2 linked regions of the Oryctolagus cuniculus genome follow. The protein of the gene in region 1 purifies or fractionates together with the protein of each later gene. This does not show direct contact. Links are inferred from orthologs where the notes say so. Each region holds a gene or a part of one and is shown in the gene's direction. Other genes may lie near its edges.

Region 1 (3,500 bases):
TATCCAAGTTTATCAACACCAATGAAATATCCCCTATGCATCTTTTTAAAAAAAAATACAGGCTAATAATCCCTTATCCAAAATTCATGGGACCGAAAAAGAAATGTTTCATATTTTGGAAGATTTTGGATTTTTGGAATCCAAAAATATAAATTATGCCCAAATCTAAAATTTGTAGAAACAAGACACTTTCAAATCGGAGGTGCTCAACCTGCATTATTTAACTATTTATTTTGACAGGCAGAGTGGACAGTGAGAGAGAGAGACAGAGAGAAAGGTCTTCCTTTGCCTTTGGTTCACCCTCCAATGGCCGCCGCGGCCAGCGCACCATGCTGATCCAAAGGCGAGAGCCAGGTACTTATCCTGGTCTCCCATGGGGTGCAGGGCCCAAGCACTTGGGCCATCCTCCACTGCACTCCCTGGCCACAGCAGAAAGCTGGCCTGGAAGAGGGGCAACAGGGACAGAATCCGGTGCCCCGACCGGGACTAGAACCTGGTGTGCCTGCACTGCTAGGTGGAGGAATAGCCTAGTGAGCCGCGGCACCGGCCAAAACCTGCATTATTAAAACCAGTTTTAGTTTCCCAGCCGATGCCGCGGCTCAACAGGCTAATCTTCCGCCTGCGGCGCCAGCACACTGGGTTCTAGTCCCGGTCAGGGCGCCGGATTCGGTCCCGGTTGCCCCTCTTCCAGGCCAGCTCTCTGCTGTGGCCAGGGAGTGCAGTGGAGGATGGCCCAAGCGCTTGGGCCCTGCACCTCATGGGAGACCAGGATAAGTACCTGGCTCTTGCCTTTGGATCAGCATGGTGCGCTGGCCGCGGCGGCCATTGGAGGGTGAACCAACAGCAAAGGAAGACCTTTCTCTCTGTCTCTCTCTCTCACTGTCCACTCTGCCTGTCAAAAACAAAACAAAACAAAACAAAACAAAACAAAAAAAACAGTTATAGTTTCCTAGAACTCAGTAACATTCTGTTTTTTAAAAATAAATTTCAGTCACTTGTTACTGATCATCTGGTTAGCATGGAGTGATCCTAAAACACAGGATATAGAGCTCGAATCCCTGAATTTGTCACCTTTTTAAAAAGATTTTATTTAGGGGCTGGCGCCGTGGCTCACTTGGTTAATCCTCCTCCTGCAGCGCCGGCATCCTATATGGGTGCTGGGTTCTAGTCCAGTTGCCCCTCTTCCAATCCAGCTCTCTGCTGTGTTCCAGGAAGGCAGTGGAGGATGGCCCAAGTGCTTGGGCCCTGCACCTGCATGGGAGACCAGGAGGAAGCACCTGTCTCCTGGCTTCGGATCGGCACGGTGCGCCGGCCATGGCAGCCATTTGAGGGGTGAACCAACAGAAGGAAGACCTTTCTCCCAGTCTCTCTCTCACTAACTCTGCCTGTAAAATTAAAAAAAAAAAAAAAAGATTTTATTTGAGAGGCAGAGTTAGAGAGAGGGAGGCTTTCCATCTGCTGGTTCATTCCCCAAATGGCTGCAATGGCCAGTGTTAGGCCCATCTAAAGCCAGGAGCTTCTTCTGGGTCTCCCACATAGATGCAGGGGCCCAAGGGCTTGGGCCATCTTCCACTGCTTTCCCAGGCCATAGCAGAGAGCTGGTTAGGAAGAGGATCAGCTGGGACTTGAACCAATGCCCATATAGGATGCTGGTGCTACAGGCGGAGGCTTAGTCTGACTATGCCACAGTACAGGCCCCAAATTTGTTACTTTTTATCTTTCATTTGGGGAATATCACTGACACTTCTTAGAATTTTTCTGTGCTGGTACAGGGTGTAATGTTGGCCCACTTCACAAGATAGTTATGAAGACCAAATGCTATTTTAAGAATCCATAATGTGTATTGCTGTTGATGTCTCAATCTCGAGACAGTTTCTAGAAGAAACTGTCAGCCTAAAAATGCCTAAAGAGGGCTACAAAACTGACTAGAATTTGAAATTACTAGTAAACTTTAAAAATTATGACCATGGGTATTTTGCGCTCACTGTGCAGCTGCCAACTATAAAACTCCAAGATCACAAATGTTGCAGGGAATATAAGAGGTGACCTACAAGCTCAATGATTTTTATACTCACAATTATGAAAAACATTGAAAATGATTTTTTAAACCTTTCCTTTCCAGGTTATTAACACTGGCAATAGCATGGCTCCAAATGTAAGCATGGAAATAATGGTACCAAATTCTTTTATGCCCCAAACCAATAAACTGTTCAACATTTTGGATGTCCAGGTAAAAATGAGTTTCTTCTCTCAGACCTTTATTGGGTGTGCCTTAAATACTGAAACAAATGCAAACCTATACTTTAAGTAATCTCACAGATTTCTCTTATTTTAGCCACATTCAAAGCTGTGAAGTCATGATGCATTTATTGAATATGCTTTGTAGAAATACAGTGGAACTTCTATACTTGACACAATAACAGAACTATGCTCTGCCATCTTTATTGTTTTTAAGATACATTAAAATGTGACATACACCTGTGAGAGTAGTTTGGGTAGAATTCTCCATAAATCTTGAAGCCATTGTTGAAAGATCACAATTAACACTCTTTAAAAGGAAGTAACACTCAGATCACTTTTTAACAACTGATATTTTTGTGTTCATTACATCAGACCTATTTTTGTTTCTCAGTTTCAAGACAAGCAACCAAGAAATGAATGTGCTGAGTGGGTTTGAGTAAGAGTTTTAATATCTTACATGAACTCCAGATTTGTAGACTATAACCTATATTAACTTCATGTCAATGTTCAAACATCATTTTTTTTATATTTCCTCAAGGCTAAGACTATTTTGAGCCTAGGACATATATTCAACCCCCCTACAATTTTGCTGGATTTTCTCTTTTTGCCACAGAAGTGTAATCTCTTTCCAATAACCTGTCCAAAGGTATTTTCACAATGTCAGAGGTCCTTGATATATTTTAGGAAACATAAGAAATTAAGACTCATAAAAAGCATGCTGTGTGCGTTCCTTCCCATGATGAAAGATTTTTCTTACTTACTGTCATAGATGACCACTGGAGAATGCTTCTTTGAAACTTATCAAAGAGAATGTGCATTAGAGCAGCCAAAGGGTGCCATGGAGACCTTGAAAGGCATATTCACGTTCTTGTCAAAGACTGATAAGAGGCTGTTGGTAAGTTTCTGTTGTTCAACAGAACTTAAGACACACTTAAGACCTGAAGTCAACGGATTGAAGTTGTCAGCTGAAGGGTAGGAGAAAGTACAAGTTGCAATTTTCTTGAGTGTAAGGGACATGTATGCTTGGAGTTGTGATTTAGACCTAGGCTTAAATAGGAAGGTCTCCAAAAAGTTCATGGAAAATGGAAAATGCATATTATGAGAAAACAGACACAGGAATGCAAACTTTTGAAGTATCCATACAGTTTCATTATTTATCTACCAAATGGTCATTAACTGTCAGCCAGACAATGTTTCAGACCCATCAGAATGCCATGGTGCTCACCTGGCCAGCATGAAGTTAATTTTCATTCCTTTTA
Region 2 (3,500 bases), on another chromosome or scaffold:
GGGGCTGTCTCAGACACCACTTCAGCCCCTGCCTCACCCACAGCTGTCTGCTCACTGCCATACACTGGGTAGTAAAGTCAATGGTGCTTCTAAACAAGTCTTGCAGTGTTTAATCTTAGGTGGTTTTTAGAAGCAGGCACCTGCCTTTATTGGAAAAAAAAAAAAGGCAAATTATTCAAATTCTAGAAGAAATCCAAATGTTGAATTTTGTTCTTTATCTGAAGTGACAGATAGCAGATTCCTGACAGCTCAGTATACACAGATTGTCTGGTTGTTTAAGACCTTTTCGGTGTGGAGGTTTTCATATGTACAGGCAAGTAGAGGGGGCAGCATGGGGAACCCTCAGCTGACCTACCACCCGCACTGTCACCTGTGCAGGTATTGGGTTTTTCACAGAGCAGAGTGGAAGGAGGACCTGTGCACTAAACTGTGTCTCTTGATTTCTTAGGACTACCCTTCTATTGCCCACCTCGTCCAGAAACTCAGTGAAAATAACATTCAGACTATTTTTGCAGTTACTGAAGAATTTCAGCCTGTTTACAAGGTATGTGTGAAATAAGAAAAAAAAAAAAAACAAAGTGCTAGGATTTTTGTTGTTGTTGTCATTAGAGGTAAAAAGCATTTATGAATTAAAGTGTAGGAAGAAGCCACTAGGTAGGCAGACTGAATTTTTCCTTTAAAAAGATTTATTTGAAGGTCAGAGTTACAGAGATGGGTAGAGACAGAGAGAGGTAGAGAGAGAGGGAGGGGGAGAGGTGGGGAGAGAGGGAGGGAGGGAGGTCTTCCATCCCTGGTTCACTCCCCAAATGGCTAAAACGGCCGGAGCTGAGCTGATCTGAAGCCAGGAGCCAGGAGCTTCTTCTGGGTCTCCCACGTGGGTGCAGGGGCCCAAGCACTTGGGCTGTCTTGCACTGCTTTCCTAGGTGCATTAGCAGGGAGCTGGATCAGAAGTGGAGCAGCTGGGGCTCAAACCGGTGCCTATATGGAATGCTGGTGCCACAGGCTGGGGCTTTAACCTGCTGTACCACAGTGCAAGCCCAGGCAGACTGAATTTTACAAAAGAGGTTGATGTTAATTTTAATCACATCATAAAACTCGTCTTTTTCAGGTTTGACTCCCGAAGTTATTTAGGAAATGTATAGGGAATGAGTGTTTAAAGATGCAGGTTGCTTGTTCAGTAAGTGCTACCTGGTTGATGAATAGTATTTGACATGCTTTGTCTTTTAATTGCAGGAACTGAAAAACTTGATCCCTAAGTCAGCAGTGGGAACGTTGTCTGCAAACTCCAGCAATGTCATCCAGCTGATCATTGATGCCTACAACGTGAGTGCCTGTGGATCAGAGCAGCTCTGACAGTGCCCTGTGAGGGTGAAACTCCTTAGAACACAGGCTGGGAAGCCCAGAGGATAACACACAACTTATGTGCTGTATCTGGGGGAAAACTTGATATTGTCTCAGAGAAGCATAGTCTAAACAAAGCAAAAACGTGACAGAGCCATGTGGGAAAACCTCAAGTCTGTACATCACCAAGTGAGATGTCCCTGTGGGGAAACAAAGCAGGTGTGATGTGTAACTGACGTCTGATCTGTAGGGGCCCAGCCATCCTCTCCCTCCAAAGTGTTCTTTATAGATTCTTCTATTTTGGTGAATTGTGGTAGAAAAGCTTTTCGGCTGTTTCTTTCCTTCCACACATTCAGAGAACATGTTTTCTGTTTTTAGGGGGGAGTACACACATTCATCGCTACATACAGCATAGAATGCGTAAACTGTAAACATGTACTTGTCTGCAGCTTGATTATTTTAACAGGCTTATAGGATTGTTTTTTCTGCACATGTGCAGGTGAGGTGAAGTCAGAGAGGAACTGTGCTCTCTCTAGATCTCAATTCAGAAAACCGTTAATGGCTCTCAGGAAGCACTGCTTAGCAGTGGTTTGGAAATGCACTGTATACTTTCACCCCACTCACCCTTTGGTTGGTTAAATTTTTGATGTTTTTTTGCAGTGGGAGTCTAAAAATGTTTTGGAAAGAGCTGAGTCAGAAAGATGGACTGGGCTTTGTTTTTTAACTTTTTTTTTGAGAGTTTCCATTTGTTGGTTAACACCCTTAATACCCATAAGGGCTCGGGGGCCAAAGCTGGGGCTGGAAACTCAATCCAGGTCTCCCATGTTGGTGGCAGGAACCCAGCGACTTCAGTCATTACTGCTGTCTCCTAGAGTTGGAATCAGGAACTGGCCAGCTGGCAGTCAAACCCAGGCATGTGGTGTGGGTCGTGGGCATCCTAGTTAGTGTTGTAACCAGTAGGGCGGATGCCACCCAGCAACTTTGAAGATTCCAGTAGTTCCTTTGTCTTCCCCCAGCTGTTTTTTCTCAACAGACTGTTTTCCCAACTTTGATCTTTATTAAGAGTGTGAGCAACAGGTAGTTTGCTACTGCAGCCCTCATTGTTCTGAGAGGTCGGAGTTTTTACAAAATGTTCGTTTATATACAGACAGAACTCCCATCTACTGGTTCACTCCCCAGATGTCCACAAGGCTGGGACTGTGCTGGGCTGAAGCTGGGAGCAGAGAACTCGGTGTCCCACATGGTTGGCAGGAAGCTAGCACTGCCGCACACCTGGGTCTGCATTGGCAGGAGGTTGGAATCAGAAGCCAGAGGCCATCCTCAAACCCACTTGTAGGGTGTGGGCATCATTATTAACCTCTAGGCTGACTGCCCGCACTAGCTTGAGTCTTTCCCCCTTAAGAGTTTTTAGTCTTTGCTGGCCAGGCTTACAGTGGCTTCCAAGCACAGTCGCTCCCAGACTGCGCAGTAGAGTGCCTTGGCCATAGTGAGTTGAGGACCTGGAGACTTTGCCCAGGGGGTAAGGAACACACTCCTCCTCGTCAGTATCAGGCCTTGGGACTGCACGATCCTTGCTGTTTTACCTCGTTGTAGGAACAGAATGCCCTTTCAACCATGTAGGTGGTTCTACAGATGAGACCCTTATTAACCAGTGCCTGTTTGTGTTTTGTAAGACTTTACAATACTGTCTTGACTGGTCATCTTATGCATCCCAGGAGCATTTCAACTTTCTTGTGTATAATTAGTCTTTCTTTTAGTCCCTTTCTTCAGAAGTCATTTTGGAAAACAGCAAATTGCCAGAAGGAGTAACGATAAATTACAAATCTTACTGCAAGAACGGGGTGAATGGCACAGGGGAGAACGGAAGGAAGTGCTCCAATATCTCCATTGGAGATGAGGTATTGCTTATTTATAAGCAAATGCAGTTCATGATTTGAAACATACTAAAAAGAAATGAGTGGGTTTTTGAGATAGTTTTTAGCAGATTCATGTTGCTTAGCTTATTGTTCACTTAATCTTGCTTTTTTCCTTCAAGGTTCACTTTGAAATCAGCATAACTTCAAATCAGTGTCCAGTTAAGCATTCTGAAACCATTAAAATCAAGCCTCTGGGCTTCACCGAGGAGGTGGAGGTGGTCCTTGAGTTCATCTGCAAGTGTG

What was found. Proteins that work in one complex are often made in the same cells at the same time.
Region 2: the proteins of ITGA4 (region 1) and ITGB1 purify together in Homo sapiens (co-immunoprecipitation; 4 studies listed by BioGRID and IntAct, with this or other methods). This does not show direct contact. The link is inferred for Oryctolagus cuniculus from reciprocal best matches to the Homo sapiens genes ITGA4 and ITGB1.

The regions. Positions count from the first base shown.
Region 1 is NC_091434.1:59,268,351-59,271,850, reverse strand, and holds part of ITGA4 (integrin alpha-4), read left to right. Parts: intron 1-2,122; coding exon 2,123-2,230; intron 2,231-3,010; coding exon 3,011-3,136; intron 3,137-3,500. UniProt on the Homo sapiens protein: Integrins alpha-4/beta-1 (VLA-4) and alpha-4/beta-7 are receptors for fibronectin. They recognize one or more domains within the alternatively spliced CS-1 and CS-5 regions of fibronectin. They are also receptors for VCAM1.
Region 2 is NC_091444.1:108,925,883-108,929,382, forward strand, and holds part of ITGB1 (integrin beta-1), read left to right. Parts: intron 1-448; coding exon 449-544; intron 545-1,233; coding exon 1,234-1,323; intron 1,324-3,098; coding exon 3,099-3,239; intron 3,240-3,376; coding exon 3,377-3,500.